3 linked regions of the Sus scrofa genome follow. The protein of the gene in region 1 purifies or fractionates together with the protein of each later gene. This does not show direct contact. Links are inferred from orthologs where the notes say so. Each region holds a gene or a part of one and is shown on either strand. Other genes may lie near its edges.

Evidence for each region.
Region 2: the proteins of RPP21 (region 1) and RPP30 purify together in Homo sapiens (co-immunoprecipitation; 3 studies listed by BioGRID and IntAct, counting the BioPlex papers as one, with this or other methods). This does not show direct contact. The link is inferred for Sus scrofa from reciprocal best matches to the Homo sapiens genes RPP21 and RPP30.
Region 3: the proteins of RPP21 (region 1) and RPP40 purify together in Homo sapiens (co-immunoprecipitation; 3 studies listed by BioGRID and IntAct, counting the BioPlex papers as one, with this or other methods). This does not show direct contact. The link is inferred for Sus scrofa from reciprocal best matches to the Homo sapiens genes RPP21 and RPP40.

What each region holds. Positions count from the first base shown.
Region 1 is NC_010449.5:23,061,041-23,067,721, forward strand, and holds RPP21 (ribonuclease P protein subunit p21), read left to right. Parts: upstream 1-3,325; 5' UTR 3,326-3,401; coding exon 3,402-3,458; intron 3,459-3,534; coding exon 3,535-3,635; intron 3,636-3,754; coding exon 3,755-3,837; intron 3,838-4,839; coding exon 4,840-4,965; intron 4,966-5,108; coding exon 5,109-5,206; 3' UTR 5,207-5,247; downstream 5,248-6,681. Other genes in the region: TRIM39 (tripartite motif-containing protein 39), read left to right, coding at 1-446. UniProt on the Homo sapiens protein: Component of ribonuclease P, a ribonucleoprotein complex that generates mature tRNA molecules by cleaving their 5'-ends.
Region 2 is NC_010456.5:102,562,820-102,570,120, reverse strand, and holds the start of RPP30 (ribonuclease P protein subunit p30), read right to left. Parts: upstream 4,320-7,301; 5' UTR 4,069-4,319; coding exon 3,987-4,068; intron 1,965-3,986; coding exon 1,909-1,964; intron 781-1,908; coding exon 724-780; intron 1-723. UniProt on the Homo sapiens protein: Component of ribonuclease P, a ribonucleoprotein complex that generates mature tRNA molecules by cleaving their 5'-ends. Also a component of the MRP ribonuclease complex, which cleaves pre-rRNA sequences.
Region 3 is NC_010449.5:3,000,981-3,008,278, reverse strand, and holds the start of RPP40 (ribonuclease P protein subunit p40), read left to right. Parts: upstream 1-2,979; 5' UTR 2,980-3,036; coding exon 3,037-3,159; intron 3,160-3,546; exon of another isoform or gene 3,547-3,785; intron 3,786-4,707; coding exon 4,708-4,852; intron 4,853-6,022; coding exon 6,023-6,091; intron 6,092-7,174; coding exon 7,175-7,270; intron 7,271-7,298. UniProt on the Homo sapiens protein: Component of ribonuclease P, a ribonucleoprotein complex that generates mature tRNA molecules by cleaving their 5'-ends. Also a component of the MRP ribonuclease complex, which cleaves pre-rRNA sequences.

The sequences.
Region 1 (6,681 bases):
ATACACCTCGGCGTTTCACCTTCTACCCTTGCGTCCTGGCCACTGAGGGCTTCACCTCAGGTCGACACTACTGGGAGGTGGAGGTGGGCGACAAGACCCACTGGGCCGTGGGTGTGTGCCGGGACTCTGTGAGCCGGAAGGGCGAGCTGACCCCACTCCCTGAGACTGGCTACTGGCGGGTGCGGCTGTGGAACGGCGACAAGTATGCAGCCACCACCACGCCTTTTACCCCTTTGCACATCAAGGTGAAACCCAAGCGGGTGGGCATATTCCTAGACTATGAGGCCGGCACACTGTCTTTTTATAACGTCACAGACCGCTCTCACATCTACACCTTCACCGATACTTTTACTGAAAAACTTTGGCCCCTCTTCTACCCAGGCATCCGGGCTGGTCGGAAGAATGCTGCACCATTGACCATCAGACCCCCAACAGATTGGGAGTGACAGGTAGGGACATGGGAATAATCAGGGTGAGGCAGGGTCAAGAGCTACGGGCCTTCCTTCCTGTGACCTGCTGGAGCGTCTTCATGTCTGCTGGTTCCAGTCCTGAACCATCTGGGAGAACACCATGGTTTCTAGAATGGTTTATGTGGAGGAGTAGGTAGGACTGGGCTGGGACGAGAGCACGCTGTGTCTCCCTCCTAACTGTCAGGGTGGGGAGCTGGTTCCCAGGGGGTTGTCGCCCCTGAAGTCCATCAGGTTTTCTGTTGCACAGGATGGGTTGGGAAGGAAGGAGAGGCTTTTCCAGAAACAACAAGTCTATAGGAGGGTCTGACTTGCTCGAGTCAGAGGAGGAAACCAAAACCCCTGTACATCCTTTTAGGGGGTTTCTTTGACCCAGAATGGTCTGGTTTCTTTAGGAAGATCACAGGGGTCTCTGTACCTCTAGACTGAAATTAAGTTGAATGACAGTTGCTCTCGTGGGTCTAGAAGTTGAGGAGTTTTGTTCAGGGCAGAGATTGGGCATCAAGGTTAGAAAGAAGGTTTAAAAAAAAAGAGCTAGAAGGTTAAAAAAAAAAAAACTTAAGAAAGAAGGTTAGGAAAGGGGGCTAAAGAAACAGATTCCTAAAGACTGCTGAAGAGAAGAGTGGCTTTGGTTGCCATCATGGGTAGGACTGACCGGAGGTAGGAATGCGGGGAAGAAAGAGAACCCAGGTCTCTGCCTCAGCCTTCAGCAGAGCTGGCTTATCACCTGCCTCCTTGTAGTTGCTCGTCTCTAAGAGCTGTTACCTTGCTCATCTGGAGAGGCAAGGTGCAGGAGCTCCTGCAAGACGTGTCTACCCCTTCACTGCTTTCCCAACCTGGAGAGGAGAGAGTCAGGTATTAGAAGAAAGAGAAAAGTATTCCTATCCAAAGCCCCTGCCTTAAAGAATGCTACTGAGTAGCTGCTCCCAAGTTGTCAGCCTTGTTACCTGGCTAAGGTGTCCAAGCTGGACGGGGGAAAGAAAATGGAGTCTTCCTCACCCTGGGACAGGGTAGAAGGGGGTGGTATGTATAGGGAAGGGCCAGATAGGCAACTTCCTTTGGCCTGTGTGCATATGGCCTGGAACTAGTGTTCACAAGAGCCAATTTTTTTGCTTGTTTGTTGCCATCCTTCACCTTTTGCCATTTCTCCTATCAGAGAATGTAAGTCATTTTTATGTTAGGCCAAAATAAACAAACTGTAGGGTACATATGTTGTCAAAAAAGGTAAAGCAATGCATGCCAAACCAAACTAAAATGACTGGATTATCTGCTACTTGGGTAATCAGGGGTTCACTGAAGATTAGGATAAGAAACTGCAGTTTATTGAGGGCATTTCAGCTCCTCCTACCACCTCAACAGGACTTTGTCCAGACTCTCCTCTTACCTTTGTGCCTTGACTGTGGTTCTTTGTGGCAAGATGCTTTGGTTGGTAAAACAAAATATGGAACAAAGGATCCACTGAAGTGATCTCTGTGTCGTGTGGTAATTTGATGACAGCTTCTGTTGATGTATACGATTCTTTGGTGTTAAAAATGCATGTTCCTGGGCCCACCCTCAGTGATTTGTCCCAATCTGGGATGAGCCTGGGCATGTACCTTTTTTTTTTTTTTAATGACCGCACCTGCTGCATATGGAGGTTCCCAGGCTGGGGGTTGAATCGGAACTGCAACTGCCAGCCTACATCATAGCCACAGCAACACCAGATCCTTAACCCAATGAGCGAGGCTAGGGATCAAACCCCCCTCATGGATACTAGTCAGGTTCCTTTCCACCGAGCCTTTTAAAGAATACTTCTCATTTGAGTCTGGGGACTGTTCTGAAACTTATCCAAGAGGAAATTTCAGCCATTTCCTTCAAGCTGGAGGCCTGGTTCCCTATCCAGCCTGACGGGGGTTGAGAGAAGAGAGAACTCTCATCCTCTCCTGACTTGGGCTGCCCTCTCCCTATCTCAGGGATTATTCCTGTTCTGTGGCTCTACATCTAAACCTCAGGACACAGTGATTATTAACTATGAAACAGAGGTAAACATATGATGTCCAATAGCAAACAGAGTCAGAAGGCAAGGGGAGGGATATGAAGCATTATATATGTCTGTGCTGGGGGAGAGGGGGTGTTGTTGACATGTTCCTGTACTCTCCCCTACTGCGTGTCCAGAACGGCATGACAGGAAGTGTGTTTCTTTAAGTGGAATAGATTGGGAGTAAGCTGGGCTTTCTGAAGGCCAGGAGCCCTCTTCCTCGACTCTTTCCAGCTTCCCCACCACTGGCGCCAGTGCTTCTTTTGAGTATATAACCCACTCCTTTAGTCTGTAGATCTTCCAGGCCATCTGCCTTTGGCTTCAGGAGCATAGGGCAGGAAGTAGCTGGGTATGAATTGTGCATAACCATCTCCCCAACCTACCTGCACAAAGAGACCAGTCTTCTGTCCTGAAAATGTTTAGCAGTTTAAGATTTTCTCCGGCTCCACTGGTCTCTCCAGTCTTTATCTAATATTATCGTGGGCATGAGGAAGACTAAAAGGAAGCCAAGGAGTTCCCTTGTGGCTCAGCGGAAATGAATGTGACTAGTATTCATGAAGATGCAGATTTGATCCCTGGCTTCGCTCAGTGGGTTGGGGGGGCTCCGTCCTTACTACGCTGTAGCGTAGGTCGCAGACGTGGCTCGAATCCCATGTTGCTGTGGCTGGGGCGGGGCGGGGTTGTTGGGGGTGGAGACAAAGCAAAACATAGACACCCCCTGGTTTGGATTACCCGCAGCAGGTGGGTTTGCAATTAGATGGGTTTGTGCGGCCGCACGGTGGCGCCGGATTGAGGAATGCCCACGGCCCCCAGGAACTACACTTCCCAGGAGGCTTTGCGCGGACGCCCCGGGCGGGGCTACCTCCAAGAGCGGGGCCTGTGAACTTTAGGGTGCGGAGCTGCCGCGCGCGGAGTGGATGGCGGGGCAGGTGAAGGACCGCGAGGCCTTCCAGAGACTCAGCTTCTTGTATCAGGTGAGTCTGCGTCGCAGCCCGCGCGTACGGAAGTGGTCCAGGGTGGCGGGCCCCCAGTGACGGCTCCGTCCCTCAGGCCGCCCATTGCGTTCTCGCGCAGGACCCGGAGAACCAGGCGCTAGCGAGGTTTTACTGCCACACGGAGAGGACCATAGCGAAGCGGCTCGTCTTGCGGCGGTGAGAGGGGCACGAAGCCCGACGGCGGTGGGCGAGTCCAGGGAAGGACGGGAGGGAGAGAGCAGGCGCCTAGACCATTATCCGCAGGCGCCTAGACCATTATCCACTTCCGCCTCCAGGGACCCCTCGGTGAAGAGGACCCTCTGCCGTGGCTGCTCTTCCCTCCTCATTCCGGGCCTGACCTGCACCCAGCGCCAGCGACGTGAGTGCTCCCTTCTGCTGGGGAATGTCCGTGGGCTGGGGGAGGGGAGGGCAAGTCTCCTTCCCGGGTTTAAATGGGTGCCAGGTGTGGGATATGGAGGCGGAGGCTTTCTCTAGCTCTGAGTTAAATTAACTCCGCCTGGATAGACTAGGTCTGGGCAGTAGAGAAATGATGTTGCCTTGAGAGGCGCCTCGCCCGTGCGTGATAATAGATGTTATTTGGCACCTGGAAGACATGCTTTCCATCTTCATTTATTCATTCAACTGTTATTTTTTGAGATGTGTCCGGCATTGCGCTAGAGTGTGATGGGACAAAGTAAGACAGAAACAATTAGAATAGCATAGAAATAGAGTTCCCGTTGTGCCTCGGCGGGTTAGTGTCCGTGAGAATGCAGGTTCGATCCCTGGCCTCTCTCAGGGAGTTAAGGATCCAGCGTTGCCCCAAGCTAGGGTGTAGGTCGCAGATGCAGCTCCGATCCTGCGTGACTGTGGTGTAGGCCTCGGTTGCAGCTCTGATTCAACCCCTAGCGGGAGAACTTCGCATAAGCCACAGGTGAGGCATGAAAAAGAAAATAGAATAGCATAGAAAATGCTTTAATTGGGGGACTAGTATACAAATTACTTCAACTACTGATGGTGAGGTTCATTATAAGCAAAGGGAGTGGGAAATGGAAATCCTAGGTGTTTGTATTAGACCTCAGACCAAAGAGCTTGTGGTCCTCCAAGCTCAGGAGGCTGGAGTTTGAGGTGGGCAAAGGCAAGACATGAGGCTGGAGAGGGAAACAGGGTAGACCTGAAGAATCTTGTTAAGGAGTTTGGATTTTATCTTAAAGGGCACCAAGAAATTGACAGTGTTTATGCAGGGACCTGACACCATCAAATGTGTATGCAAAGTACAGAGGGGATGGAATCCCTACTGGAGAACAGTGGAGGCAAAACTGGGTACAGGAGACCTTTTCTTTTCCTAAACGTGGACACTCTCTTTTCCCCACATGCACGCCAGGCTGCAAGGGTCAGCGCTGGACTGTACAGACCTGCCTAACATGCCAGCGCAGCCAGCGGTTCCTCAACGATCCTAGGCATCTGCTCTGGGGCGACCGGCCTGAGGCCCAGCTAGGGAGCCAGACAGGTGAGAGGTGGTAAAGGAAATGGGGGTACCTTCTGGGCGTTGAAGCAGTGGGTAACATAGAGCTGCTAAGGACATGTAGGTGAGTTCTGGGTTGGTGTGAAAGGTGCCAAGGCTTACAAAATTAATTCTGCTCATCTACTCAGATCCCACACCACCACAGCCCCAGCCAAACACAGCCAACCCCATCCCAGCCCACCTTCCTGAGGAGAAAGTGCAGCCTCAGAGCTCCAGTCACCAGTGATGGATTTACCCTACCTTCCAAATAAACTTTAATTCTGTTTAACTTTGCGTGATTCTGTTCTGTGAGTACTTAAGCTCTGAACTCCGTTTTTCTCTGTTTCTGTCTGTATTTCTCTGTCACCAGCTAACCTCTTCTTTGTTCTTTTTGTCCTTTGTCTTGATCATCCTCACACTCCCACTATTCAGGGAGATGCCAATGTCTATAGACCACTTGGCCCCACCAAGCAGCCCCCATTTCCAGGACTGTGACAGCAGTGCCCCTCCACTCCTGCTTCCTCAGTGCTGTGCCACATCTGGAGCTCAGGCTCCAGGGTTGCCTGTAAGGGTGCAAGCCTTCCTAGGGCTAGGGCAGCCCATCAACAGCCAAAGCCACAGCAACACAGGATCCAAGCCGAGTCTTTGACCTACACTACATCTCACAGCAATGCCAGGTCTTTTTACCCAATGAGTGAGGCCAGGGATCAAACCCGAGTTGTCATGGATCCTAGCGGGGTTCATTACCACTGAGCCACAACAGGAACTCCCCTGATGCTTTGTTTGTGTTTTTTGTTTTTGTCTTTTGTCTTTTTAGGGCCGCACCTGCAATGTATAGAGGTTCCCAGGCTAGGGGTCCAATCGGAGCTGTAGTTGCCAGCCTACACCACAACCATAGCAACTCGGGATCTGAGCCGCATCTGTGACCTACACCGCAGCTCACAGCAATGCCGAATCCTTAACCCACTGAGCGAGGCTAGGGATCGAGCCTGCCTTCTCATGGATGCCAGTAAGAATTGTTTCCAATGAGCTATGATGGGAACTCCTGATGCTCTGTTTAAATGAAGAAAAAAAGTTCGGGTGAGGTTGGCAAAGGGAGGGTTCAGATTCTCCAGGACCACTTTATTTTGGGTCTTTCCCAATCTCTGGGTTTCTTCTATAAGATTCTAACATGGGAAACTGTACAGGAGTTCCTGCTGTGGCAAAGTGGGTTAAGACTGGCTACAGTGGCTTGGGTCACTGCAGAGATGCAGGTTCAATCCTTGGCCCAGCACAGTGGGTTAAAGGATCCTGCATTGTCACAACTGTGGCATGGGCCACAGCTGCAGCTCGAATTCAATTCCTGGCCCAGAACTTTCCACAGGCCACAGGTGCTGCCAAAAAAGAGAGAAACTATACAACCTGAACTAACAAAAGGACAGGCAGGAGTTCCTGTTGTGGCTCAGTGGTAAAGAACCCCACTCGTATCCATGAGTTTCAATCCCTGGCCTCACTCAGCAGATTAAAGATCTGGCATTGCCGTGAGCTGTGGTGTAGGTTGCAGACATAGCTCAGATCCCACATTGCTGTGGCTGTGGTGTAAGCTGGCATCTATAACTCTTATTGGACCCTAGCCTAGGAATCTCCATATGCCACAGGTATGGCCCTAAAAAGACCAAAAAAAAAGACTCTGGCAGATATTATACAAGTATGCTCTGTAGGTAAACCATGAGCAGGTTTGGG
Region 2 (7,301 bases), on another chromosome or scaffold:
CCTGTGTTGCTATGAGCTGTGGTATAGGTGACAGATGTGGCTCACATCCAGGATTGCTGTAGCTGTGATGCAGGCCAGCAGCTGCAGCTCCGATTCAACCCCTAGCCTGGGAACTTCCCTATTCCACATGTGCAACCCTAAAAAGAATAAAAAAAGAAAAAAGAAAAAACAAAGTGCCATAGCCACCCCAATCTTCAGCATCTGCCACCTTGATCCATCAGCAGCCTTTAGCATCAAGGCAAGAGCTTCCACCAGCAAGAAGATTATAACTTGCTGAATATACAGATGAGGGTGAGCATTTTTAAGCAATACGGTATTTTTAAATTAGGCATATATATATATAGTTTTAAGACATAATGCTAACCTCACACTTACTGAAGTACAGTACACTGTAAGCATAGCTTTAATATGCACCAGGAAACTAAAACATTCGTGTGACTCACTTTATGCAGTGGTCTGAAATCAGACCTGTAATATCTCTGAGATATATCTGCACAGTTAGAGAAAAAAACATGCATATTAAACTACACGATGAGATATTTTAAAGGTTGCAGGACTTCAGAAAGATGATCAGAGTACTGAATTGACAGTAAGAGAATGCTTTCTGGAAGAGCTGAGTCTTTATGGAAAGTAAGACCGGTAGACAGAGGAAGGGAACCACACATATGACTGCATGTCTGAACCAAATGAACAGGTGTTATGCTTCTTACACCATGCACTTACCTGTACAACTGGCAAAGTTGTAAAAAGCTCCGAAACAGCTACTGGTTTTTCAATTTCCTATAACAAACAACAAACAGTCACCCTAGATGGTACATGTTAATGTGATGAAACATAACAGAACACTTACAACAGGTTTTCAGTAAGATAATTAAAAAAATAAAACGAAACAAATTTCTGTTACTCAGAAACACCAAGTTGTGCATGTCATTTTTAACGTAGAAAGCTGAAGAGCAGAGCAGCAGCTGAGAATATCAATGGATAGGAGGGATGAACAATAGTTCGGAGACTGAAACAATCTGTAAGGAATGGCTGTTGGCCTGAAGGGAGATATACATATTTGCTAGCATGTTGGAGAGGGAAATCATGAGTCACTGACAGAAATATAAAAAGAACTAAATATTGTGATTACAGTTTAGTCAATAACAATGCACTTTAAGTTACTGAAAGTTAATTAACATCAAATCAACTATAAGAATCCTTATACCATGCCCTAGCACTTCACTAAAAACCTTATCATTTGCACAAATATTCATCAGCTCAACTGTTAACATATAAGACAGTGCAGAAGTTCCTGTTGTGGCACAGTGAGTTAAGATTCTGACTGCAGCAGCTTAGGTCGCTGCAGAGGTATGTGTTCAATCCCCAGGCCAGTGCAGAGGGTTGATGCATCATGCCTTGCCATATCTGCGGTGCAGGTTGCAGCTATGGCTCAGACTCAATCCCTGGCCTGGGAACTTCCATATGCCGCAGATGCAGAACTTAACAAAAAAAAAAAAAAAAAAAAAAAAAAAAAAAAAAGGAGTTCCTGTTGTGCGTCAACTAATATCCATGAGGACGTGGGTTTGATCCTTGGCCCTGCTCAGCGAGTTAAGGATCCGGCACTGCCATGAGCTGCAGCAAAGGTGGCAGACGCAGCTTGGACCTGGCGTTGCTATGGTTGTGGTATAGGCTGGCAGCTTCAGCTCTGATCCATCCCCTAGCCTGAGAACTTCCATACGCCGTCGGTGCTGCCCTAAAAAAAAAAAAAAAAAAAGGGTAAAATAAAAAAATAAACAAAAAATAAAAAAAGACAGTGTACAAAGAGTGAACTTAACAAATATGCTCATCTGCAGCTTCTATATTACAAATATACACACAAATAATTATAAATGCTAGTTATTATTAACTTCAGAAATTGTATTTTACCTGTTTCTTTTCCTTAAATTCAACAACATGATTGATGGCAACAACTGAATAGCCCACTGAAAAGAAAAATTGAACATTCTTATTAAATACAATAACCTCTCTTCCCTGTACACATAGGCTCATCCCAATTCATATCAAGACTAGAAGATAGTTAGAAGAATGGTTATGGGACAGGCTCTGGAGTCAGACTGCCAGTTTTCAAATCTTAAGTTACTTTAAGTTTCAGCTTCTTCATCTATCATATGGTGTTAATAACAGAATTTACCCCATATAACTGTCATGAGAACTAAATGAGATAACACACATAGCATGTTTAAAAATGGTGGCTGGCACAGAGTTAGGGTTTTGTTTGACCTGGGTGATGTATTATTAGCAAGACACAGAAGACCCTTAACTTTGTGCATCTCCTTTCAACCATCATTCTCTTTCAGGCCTTTTTTCATTTTCATCCCATCAAATTATATTTTTTCACTGTTATCTTCATTCTTACTCATTTTGTTTGCTCTTTACCCCTTCTGCTTTTTCAGAGGCCCCTGTGCTAAGGAGAAATGGAATAAGGACTCCCTTACATGCCACTGTCCCCATCCCCTTTTGAGTTGCCCACCAACAAGAGATTGGGAACTCTCTGAAGTCAGAGCCTAGTTTATCAGCCTCAACACAGCACTGTTTTTGGACATATGGACTACCAAAAATACATCTAAATCATGACTTAAAACGTTGAGTTAAACACCAATGGGGAGGACAGGATATTAATATTAAAGAAATAATGCATATCGGAGTTCCTGTTGTGGCTCAGCAGTAATGAACCTGACTAGTATCCAAAAAGCTGCAGGTCTGATCCCTAGCCTCATTTAGTGGATTAAGAATCCAGTGTTGCCACGAGCTGTGGTGTAGGTTCAAGCCTCCACCAGGATTCCATGTTGCTGTGGCATAGGTGGGCAGCTGCAGCTTCAACCCCTAACCAGGGAACTTCCATACCCTAAGGGTACGGCCCTAAAAGGACTAAATAAATAAATAACATATATTAATGCCAAGATAGTGGTCTTCCCTCTCAATAGTTTTTCCAATTTCCTTCTTTCTTTCCTCCTTCAAATGAGGATCCATTACTTGATAGGCCCTGCAGATATCTCTCTCTCTCTCTCTTTTTTTTTTTTTTTGCTTTTTAGGGCCGTACCTGTGGCATATGGAAGTTCGCAGGCTAGGGGTCGAATCAGAGCTATAGCTGCCAGCCTACACCACAGCCACAGCAACACGGACTTCAAGCCGCATCTGTACACCGACGCTCACCCCAACGACGGATCCTTAACCCGCTGACAGAAGCCAGGGGTAGAACCCACATCTTCATGGATACGAGTTAGGTTGTTACCGCTGAACCACAACCGGGAACTTCGAAGAAATGTCTTTATTTTTAAACCCCTCTATCTCCACTTAGACACTTTAAGTCTAAGGAAGAAGGCAGAAGTCGCGATTAACTTCGATTAGAACGATCTTACCTCTCAGGGCTTCTGCTTTCCTTGGATTCAAATACGAGTAACATTCTAGCATTCTGGCCATGCTGGTCCCTTCCCAACCTCTTGGTGTGTCCTACGCCTCAACCTACCCTCCCTCTAAATAACATTATTCCAACACTCGCAGCCCCACGTCCCACCACCCCCGCCCATTTTCGGAGCACCCAAAGCACTCCCCATCTGTGCACCAACCAGCTTTCCGCATTTGACTGAGTCAGTACACAGTGGTGAGAGGTAGGAAGGGGCGATATTAAAAGCACAGGTGGAGACTAGCTTTGGCCAGCCTTCAGCTGTGAGGCCCTATATAAGTCCCTGGCCCTGTTAGGACCTCAGTTCCCCAATTCACAATAAAGAAGGAGCTGGACTGGGTAACAGTTCCCCAGCGCTTTTCGAGTTTCCCGGGCCCGGGATCACAGCAACCCCGCAGAAGGCATCAGCTTCCAGAGACTGCCTCCAGACCCCAGAAGACCTGAATGAGGCCCGGCCGCGTCCCTTCCGAACGTGGCCCGACGATCTGGATGGCAGCGAGGCTGGGCAGGCACCGCTGCTCGCGAAGCCGCGGCGACTCACGGTAAGCGGCGTTCTCCACGAGCCCACGCAGCGCCTTGAGGTCGGAACCCGCTCGCAGGTCCAAATCCACGAACACCGCCATGCTGAAATCACGTGAACTTGCGCGGCTGTCTGCGCAGCCGCAGGGCCCGCCCCCTCGGGGCACGCTGGGAATTGCAGTTTTCCTAAGCAGTCCTCCCGTCCCTCCCGCGGACTGACGTTCCCAGGCTCTTTGAGCGCCTTCGGATCCCAGCAGAAGTTAGTGTGTGGAAGTCAGCAGCCTCACTTCAGTTCTTCTTCCTCTGGATGGGAAAGTTTTGTTTCCCTCGAAGGGGTTCACATAGCCCACCATTCCTCCTGTGAAATAATGTAGAAAATGATTCTTTCAAAATGTACGTATACAGCATTTATTGAGGACTTACAGGGAAAGAAGGTCTGGAAACCCTTAAAAAGTAAGGGTTTTAAATCCGTTTTTCTTTCCCGCCCCTAAAGGTCATTCCATTGTTTAAATTGGACTTAATGGGGAGATGGGGAAACTGACCTGACAACTCGAAAAAGGTTTGCTCGAGAAAAAAGTCATTTTGCTCAATCAGAACAGACGGTGGCACAGCATGCTAAACTCCATTACAGCCAGTATTCTCAACCTGGAGTTGGCAGGGATAAGCGGTTAGCTTCAGCACGTGTTTAGCCAAAAATGGGTTAGACAAGGGAGGTGCACAATTGAAATGTTTTACAGTTTTCCGTCTGACAGATGTACAAGGTGGAATATATCCCACAGTTGTGATGGTTCCACATTTTCGTACACATGAACTCTTGAAGAGTGATAAATTAATTATCCGAGAACATAAAACTCTGGAACTAGAGTTTACATCACTGCTTTACAAAGTACCCGTGATTACTGGGTCAGTTCACCGAGTTCCCAACCCCCCTCCCTCCACCAGTTCTTCTAGCACCAGTAGTGATCCATTGTCCTTTACCCACAGGCAGCTCTGGCCTCAAAAGATTAATCTAACATCTGAACTGCTCTATACTAGACTGAATAAGAGTCCACAAATCAGGGGCTTGGATCTCCAGACTATGCCAAAGGGATGTGAAAGTTTGTAAACATTTTCCGTTTCTTTGCTAACTTGTCACAGACAGTACACAGAGTCTCGGGTTTGTGGGCCACATCTTGATTTGTTCTTTACATGACTTCTTTCTTGGTCTCAGAAGGGAATTTTAAGAGGGATCTGTTCCATGTGGTAGTATGTAATTCTCCTTTTGGTTAAGTTCAATAAAAAAGAAATCTTCTGCTATCTAATATTTGATGTTTTCTAAGTAAGAACAGAAGAAAATTTTACTTCTGCAAATAGAAGAAAGTCATATAAAACAAACTCTGGCTTCTCATCTGAAAATCTCGTGTTAATTTTGCAGGAAGATCTAGTGTTAATTTTATAGGCGTCTTCATCTGCAGCCACAAAACCTAAATTGTTTGGAAATATGTCCGATGTGTGGTGAAGGTGAATAAGATGACTCATTATTTGATACCAGAATTAGACTACAGAGGGCTTCTTTCTTTGAAAGTCATGACGCTGTTTCTGTGGACTGTATACCCTTTAAACTTCTTATCTTCACCCTGGGCTTAGAAGGGAGGAAGAAGGACGAAAAAGAAAATGAATGAACGACAGTCACTGAGCAGTCTACTGAGGGCCAGCCTATTTGCTAAGTAGTTGCCTGCATGTTTAATTTTCAAAACAACTGAGTTAAGTGCTGCTTTTTCCACAACCTCTGCATTTTACATTTGAATCATCTGAGGCTTAGGTCATTGTGGTAGGACCACAGGTGGATCCAGGTGGCTTGGATCTATTCTCATGTCTCTATGTACTGTCTCCTGGACAAAGCAAGCAGAGAGGAGAGTTGGAGGATGGAAAAGAGGAGGGAGTAAAGACAGGGGAAAGGAAGAGGAGAATGAAGGGCGGGGGTGGGGGGAGAATGAATGGAGGGGGAGGACAGAGGAAGTAGGGAGAGAGGGAAAGGAAAGGAAGGAGATAGAAGAGGGAAGGAGGAGTGGGAAGAGAGAAAAAAGAGAATGCCATAGGGGAGATGAGAAGGGAAGAGGAGCCAGAAGTTGACTTGGGGAGTTCCAGTCGTGGCGCAGTGGTGAATGAATCCGACTAGGAACCATGAGGTCGCGTGTTCCGTCCCTGCCCTTGCTCAGTGGGTTAAGGATCCAGCGTTGCCTTGAGCTGTGGTGTAGATTGCAGACGCGGCTCGGATCTGGCATTGCTGTGGCTCTGGCGTAGGCTGGCGGCTACAGCTCCAATTCGACGCCTAGCCTGGGAACCTCCATATGCCACGGGAGCTGCCCAATAAATAGCAAAAAGACCAAAAAAAAAAAAGTTGACTTGGATAGGTAGCTGCAACAGCAAGGATCTGGAGTTAGAAGAAGACTGAAAAATTTCTGACTGGAACATAATAGGACTATAGATTTACTCTATGTAATTCCTATCTGCTGTCCAATCCTCTCAACCAGCCCATGAGAGAGTTATTGTTTTTCATATCATATCAGGTAGGAATCCTGGACTCAAAGATGACTCTTCAGTCATTTCCTCTTCCTTAGGGAGCCGAGAAAGAGAGGGTGGGCTTGAATATCCAAAACAACCTTCAAGCCCTATTTGGTCTCCCTGAAGACTTCTTTTTCTCGGACTGGCCCCTCAGTGCCAGCGCACGCTTGGTTGGTCTTTGGCTTTATCCTCTTCTCATTTGGATCACCCTTCCTGAGTGAGCTGAGAAGCATTCCTCCTGATCTTGGAGAGACAACAGTGAGTGGTGGCTGAAGTGAGATCTTAATTCTCTGCTCATAAATTAACCCTGGGAAGCCTGGATGAAAACCAGGAATCCTAGCCACTAGATGAGCTGGAGGCTAAAAGCAGAATTACCCTGATTCTTGTCCCCCACTGAAAGCCAGAATGGTTCAAGGAGGGAAAGACTGTATTAAAAAAAAGTGTAAAGTTTATTGTTAGAAACCCAGTACAACATGCAGGAGAGCACACAGAGAAGTAGTTTGTTTATGACAGGAGCAAGACAGTAGTACACACCCTAGAGAGGAGTGTGGGTCTGGATGTCCTCCTCAACGAGGCATGCACCAGAGAGGAGATTTAAATCACTTCTATAGGAGTTCCTGTTGTGGCACAGTGGTTAACGAACCCGACCAGGAACCATGAGGTTGCAGGTTCATTCCCTGGCCTTGTTCAGTGGGTTAAGGCTCTGGCATTGCCGTGAGCTGTGGTGTGGGTTGAAGACGCAGCTCGGATCCTGTGTTGCTGTGGCTCTGGTGTAGACCGGTGGCTACAGCTC
Region 3 (7,298 bases), about 20 Mb from region 1:
ACTGTGAATAGTGCTGCTATGGATGTAGGGGTAGATGTATCTTTCTGGTTTGCTTTTGTTTCTTTTGTCTTTTGTCTTTTTAGGGCTGTACCCTGGCACATGGAAGTTCCCAGGCTAGGGGTCAAAACGGAGCTGCAGCCACCAGCCTTCGCCACAGCCACAGCAACACCAGAGCCAAGCCTTGTCTGCGACTTACACCAGAGGTCACAGCAACGCCAGATCGTTAACCCACTAAGTGAGGCCTGGAATTGAACTTGCGTCCACATGGGTGCTAGTCAGATTTGTTTCTGCTGAGCCACAACAGGAACTCCTTTTTACTGTCCTTTTTTTTTTTTTTTTTTTTTTGGCTTGCATGTATCTTTCTTTCTTTCTTTTTTTTTTTTTTTTTTTTTTTTTTTTGTCTTTTTGCTATTTCTTTGGGCCGCACCCTCGGCATATGGAGGTTCCCAGGCTAGGGGTTGAATCGGAGCTGTAGCCACCGGCCTACGCCAGAGCCACAGCAACGCGGGATCCGAGCCGCGTCTGCAACCTACACCACAGCTCACGGCAACACCGGATCCTTAACCCACTGAGCAACGGCAGGGACCGAACCCGCAACCTCATGGTTCCTAGTCAGATTCGTTAACCACTGCGCCACGACGGGAACTCCTGCATGTATCTTTCTGAATGATAGTTTTGTCTGGGTATATGATATACCCAGGAGTGGGATTGCTGGATCATACCATTACTCGATCCTTAGTTTTCTGACTGGAGACTGTTCTCCATAGCGGCCGTACCGAGTTAGCCTTCCCACCAACCATGTAGGAGGGTTCCCTTTTCTCCACATCCTCTCCAGCATTTCTTATTTGTAGGGCATTTTTAGCTTCTAATCTCAGAAACCCCGATGGCAGTCCATGGCTGGGAGAAGAGCACAGTGCATGAGTCTGGAGCTAGAGCCCATCCTTGCACATGGAATTAGGTTTTGTCTTCTTTTTGTCTTTTCTTTTTTTTATGGCTGCACCTATGGCATATGGAAGTTCCCAGGCTAGGGGTCAAATTAGAGCTGCAGCTGCCGGCCTACCCCACAACCACAGCAACTTGGAATCCTTAACCCACTGAGTGAGGCCAAGGATCGAACCCACATCCTCATGGATACTGGTTGGATTTGTCACTGCTGAGCCACAATGGTAATGCCATAATTTTTTTTCAAAAAAAATTGAAAAAAATTCCAAATATTATGTGCCAAATCTTTGTATTTAGTAAGTTTATTTATTTAGTAAGTTTTTAAGAATAGGATCAGGAATTCCTGTCATGGCTCAGTGGAAACGAATCTGACTAGCATTCATGAGGACGCGGGTTCGATCCCTAGCCTGTCTCCGTGGGTTGAAGGATCAGGTGTTGTTCAATAGTTGTTGAGAAGCAACTGCTATTGAATTGTGTGGTAACCAAGAAGTATTGCTTTAAGTATTTTATATTCTAATACAATATTCATAAGTTACATCTAGATGCCATATTGTGATTTAGGATATTGGTAGTTGTTTGATTGACTTGCTATTCCTTCTTTCTCCTACTTAAAATAATGGAAAATAGGTTTTGCTTAGAGTGCTCTGAGATAATCTGACATTTGAGGCATAGGTCGCTGACATTAATGGCAGAAGATTTTCCAGTCTGTCTTCGTTTTATTATATATATATATATATATATATATATATTTGCTTTTTAGGGCCCCACCCTGGAGGTTCCTAGGCTAGGGGTTGTTGAATCAGAGTTACAGCTGCCGGCCTACGCCACGGCTCGCGGCAACGCAGGACCCTTAACCCACTGAATGAGGCCAGGCATCACACACACATCTTCATGGATACTAGTCGGATTTGTTTCCGCTGAGCCACAACGGGAATTCCGTCTTAGTTTTGGAATTGCAAATACTTACCCCCTAAATCACTTAACTTCTGTCCTTCCAAATCTTTTAGTAAAATTAATGCTCCAGAAAGGTGTATCACAAATACTCTGTTTGCATCCTCTGTGTAGAACTGGGGCTGTGCATCCTCCAGTTTGAAAAGCGTGGAGTAGTACAGTACTTGGAGTTAAGCAGAAAAATTAGATGGAAAAATGAGTTATCACTATAACCTCCAAGAGCAACAAATTATTAAAAGCAGTTCCACATTGCTGTGGCTGTGGTGTAGGCCAGCAGCTACACCTCGGATTTGACCTCTAGCCTGGGAACCTCCATATGCCAGCGGGTGCAGCCCTAAAAACAAAAACAAAGTTGCAAAAGGGGATTCCCGCCTGGAGCAGTGGACTAAGGTCTGAAGTTGTCACTGCAGCGGCTGGGGTCACTGCTGTAGCTCAGGTTCCGTTCACATGCCACATGAGCAGCCAAAAAAAGTTCCAAAAAGATATGTAAAAAAGGATGTTAAAAGTAGTTCTGGGGAGTTCCCATCATGGCGCAGTGGTAACGAATCCGACTAGGAACCATGAGATTTCGGGTTCAATCCCTGACTTTGCTCAGTGGGTTAAGGACCCGGTGTTGCTGTGAGCTGTGGTGTAGGTTGCAGACGCGGCTCGGAACCTGTGTTGCTGTGGCTGTGGTGTAGGCCGACGGCTACAGCTCCGATTGGACCCCTAGCCCGGGAACCTCCTCCATATGCCGCGTGTGCGGCCCAAGAAATAGCAAAAAGACAAAAAAAAAAAAGAAAAATTAACTCGGAAGAAGTCTTAAGGAGTCCTATTGAAGGTACTGAGTACTACCTTTCTACGCAAAAGTTTGTGTAGAACTTGGGAAGGAGCAACCCCAGTCTAGAGAAAGGATTCAGGCAAGAGCATTCATTTCGGGCAGCGCACCTTCCCAGTACCCACCAGCGAGTTTTGCCCTGGGTTCACCGTCAGCCTAGTCCCGCACTCTGCGTCAGCCCCGCCCCTACCCTGGCCGCCTGAACACGTGTGGCCTGCAGGCACTGCGCATGCCCGCGGCGAAGGGGCGGGGCGGGCGAGGAGGGGCGGGGCGGGCGAGGAGGGGCGGGGCTAGCCGAGCCCCGGCAGGGCCCGCGCGGGGAGAGTATGGCCACGCTGTGCAGGCTGCGGGAGGTTCCCCGGCACTTGCTGGTCTGCGAGAAGTCCAACTTCGGCCACGACAAGTCGCGCCACCGGCATATCGTGGAGACGCACTATTACAATTACAGGGTAAGTCTCCGCCCTGAGACCGCGAACCGAGCTCCATAGCGCGGAGGAGAGGGAGGCTTGGGACAGCCGGGCTCTCTTCCTCGGGAGCCCGCCCTCGGCGTGCGGAGGGGCTTGGGCCTCTCCAGGCATGCTGGGAACTGTAGTCTCCTAGCCTGTTCGGGTCTGCGGTTTGCCCCGCTACAGGACTACAACTCCCAGGATGCGCCGGCGCGGGGCGGTGTCCCGCCGTTGGAGGAAGGAGCGGGGCGGCGTGCGGCTGGCCGCTTGTTCCCACCGGGTCGCAGATTGGGCGCGTCCCGGGAGGGGCGGGGCCGGGGGTAGGCGGGCAATGCCCCGCACGTGGTCCGAACCGGACTCGCTCTTCCACAAACCGGTTTCCTTTCCCAGTGCGCCCGCCCGCGGGGGTCTTTCCTGAGCACCGCGCGCCGTCTGGCCGGGAGGCTGCTGGCTGTTCTGATCCGCCCCTCGGCCCTGGTTAGACGTCTGAGACACTGTGCCTTTTGCTTGGTGCCTTCCGCGATGTCCCACGGAAGCGAACCTTCTCGCCATCTCTTTGGCAGAAAGGCGCCGAGGTGGCCCTGCTCGCGAGCACGTAAGAGCGATGTTCGCTGTTGCCTCGTGAAAAGGTCAAGCTCACGGGGCGCCTTTTTCGTGGGTGCGGCGGGCGAGGCACCAGGGAGGTTAATTATTGGTTTATCCAGCATCTGCTGAGAGTAGAAAACTTCTGTAGCTCCCAGGCAAGTGTCTGGTGGGCCAGCTTCACCAACCCATTTAAGTGGAGGGGGCTTCAAAAAACCTTAAAATGAAAATGGCTTAAGCCTTTTATACTTTAAATCGATGAGCCTAATTTCAACTCGGGCCTGACCGGCCCCATCCTCAGACACAAGTGGTGACGCTGGTTCCTCTGGGCCAGACTGGTGTCCCAGCTTTGGGTGCGTGGTTTTTCAGGGTGTGGAGCACTTGGGCAGCATTTGAAATCTTTCAGGTTGAGTATCTCTGCTTTGGATGGAGAGCTCGTCACAGGCAGCCTGGGATGTGTTCCTTACCTCCCCGGTCTCATCTGTAGAGTTTTTCTACCTGAAAAGTGGAAACATCCAGCAGACTTCTGCTTCTTTGAAGCCTCATAATAATTGGCGTCCCTAAATTCCTTATGCCCTAAGGGACAGTTCCTTTGGTTCCAGCCTGGTACCAGGTGTAGGGATATTCCGCTGTCCGCTACGCAGATCTGGGGATGTGCACTTGTACCATATTTTCCTAAAAGTTAATTCATGTAGTGAAAGGAACAGGACCGAAAATACATCGTTCATTTGCAGAACATAAGACAAAAGCCAGAGCTTTCCATTAAAATTGTTTTGCTCATCAATACAGAAATGAAAAAACCTGGGTGTTGATCTATACGAAAGTCAAACTTGTTTAAACTGTGTCGTGGACTAAAATCTACAAAAACACGCACGCACTCTGCTCTACATGTGAAACGAACACAATGCTATAAGTCCACTATACTTCAGCTTTTAAAAATAAGCCTTGTTATATTCTGCCTACCAATAGGTTTCCTTTCTGATTCCTGAATGTGGGATACTCTCAAAAGAACTGAAAGACCTGGTCATGGCGTTTGGACCTTATTACTCTGTGAAGGATTTACCTCTTCATGAATTAATCACCCACGAATTCATTAATACTTTTGTAAAGAAAGGTAAGAAAAGCCGTGTAGTGTCTGTGAATGTGGTGAGATGACATCCAGGGGGAGGGCACCAAAGTACTAGAGTTCTTCTTGTTTTTTTATTTATTTGTTTCTTTAGGGCTTTTTTTTTTTAGGGCCACAACCAGGGCATATGGAGGTTGCCAGGCTAGGGGTTGAATTGGAGCTATAGCTGCCGGCCTACACCACCGCCACAGCAACGCCAGGTCCTTAACCCACTGAGCGGGGCCAGGGATGCAGCCCAAATCCTCATGGATACTAACGGCTGAGTCATGTTCTTAAGTGCTGAGCCCTGACGGGAACTCATTTATTTATTTATTTGGCCATGCCCTCGGCGTGTAGAAGTTCCCAGGCCAGCGATTAAACCCAAGTCACAGCAGCGACCTGAGCCACTGCAGCGACAACACTAGATCCTTAACCTGCTGAACTGCACGGGAGCTGCCGCTTCTCCTGTTTGAGTAGGGCTGGCAGAGACCGTCTGTGTGGTCCCTTCATCTCCCAGTGTGTGCGCTCATTAGATGGTGGTTTCTGCTTTTTTTGTGGCGGGGGCCACACCTGCGGCATATGGAAGTTCCCAGCCTGGGGGTTGAATCGGAGCTACAGCTGCTGGCCTACACCACAGCCACAGCAACGCGGGATCCAAGCTACGTCTGTGACAGACCACAGCTCACGGCAAAATGCCAGATCCTTAACCCACTGAGCGAGGCCAGGCATTGAACCTGTCTCCTCCTGGAGGCGCGTCAGAGTCCTTCCTGCTGAGCCACGACAGGAACTCCTGAGTAGCTTTCTTGACTTGAACGCAAGTTCCTGGCGCAGTTGAGTCTTCACCTGGCCTCTCCCTCTCAGGTGTGCACAGTCACCTACCCGCTCACCTCCTGCCTCTCTGCCAGCATCCCCAAGGGTACGCACTCCATCCTGAGTCCATTTTCTGTGCGATGGTAGAGTCCGCGGGCACCAGCAGGCCCCGGGCGCCGACGTGGACGAGCCATGCTTGGCCTTCGTGTCCTCCAGCTTTGCTTTGTCGGGTCGGAGGGCCCCTGAGGGAGCTGGAGCTGGAGCAGTGACCCGGAAGATGGTGTCATCACGTGAAAATACTCCAGCAGCCTTTGCAGGAGTGGCCTTTTTTTTCTCGCCTTCGTTCTCCTCTGGGCTTTTCGTTTCCAGGTTCGTGCTCTGCCCTAACGTACAACGCGAACATCGACGAGGATAACGCTGCCGCCCTCCTGCCCAACGGTAACGACTTGCGTTTTTCATTCTGTCTGTAATTGTAAAGGAAGTACGCCCTGTAAAAAAGAAAATGCCAGGGCTCCAGGGGAAGAGTGGAAGCCCCCTTCATCCCCTTCCCTCCGAACTCACTCCCCTTCCTGGAAGAACTGTTGTTAGCAGGGTGCTGTTTATTCTTCTAGACGTGTTCTGTGAATTTATAGACACACAGACCCCGGCCTGGCTGCACCTGCGGCATAGGGAAGTTCCCAGTCCAGGGATCGAATCTGAGCTGCAGCTGCAACACCACCAGATCCTTAACCCGTGGCACCACAGCGAGAAGTCCCCCGGGTGGTTCTTTTTTTATAAAATACCTGTCGTACTCCATTTTCTCGTTTTGCCTTTTTCCCAAACTGTATGTCATAGACAGCTCTCGATTGTAGTGCATGAAGTTTTAATTTACCTTTTTTTTTGCTTTGCTTTTTAGGGTTGCACTGATGGCAAATGGAGGTTCCCAGACTAGGGGTCCAATCGGAGCTACAGCTGCCGGCCTACACCACAGCCCCAGCAACATAGGATCCGAGCCACGTTTGCAACCTACACCACAGCTCATGGCAGCACCTTACCGTGAGCTGAGGTTAACATCCGTAACCCACTGAGGAGGCCAGGGATCAAACCCGCAACCTCATGGTTCCTAGTCGGAGTTGTTTCCGCCGAGCCACGTCGGGAACTCCTAATCTACCATTTTTTTTTTTTTTTTTAATCTACCATTTTTAATGTTTTAAAAAAACATTCTATACAAAGAACTGTATTCATTTATACATTTATTTATTCTTTCAGTAGAAATTTAGGTAATTCTAATTTCACTGTAATAAATAATTTCTTTATACATATAATGTTTAAATAATACCTTCATATTGTAAAATATAAATATGTATAAACGGTACCCTCGTATTATAAGAAGATGTATGTATTAATACATAATAATATCCTTGAATCTTAAGTAAGAGTCCTTGTGTGCCCTGGTATTTAACTGCACAATTTGCCTTGGTTTCTCTTAGAGAACACATATTATTTTCAACATCTCATATGGGAATTATTATTTGATTATAGGGAAATTAATTTTATCACTGGATAAAGACACTTATGAAGAAACTGGACTTCAGGGTCGTCCGTCTCGGTATTCTGGCAGGAAAATCATGAAATTTAGTGAGTATTACACTCGCCCCGTCGGTTT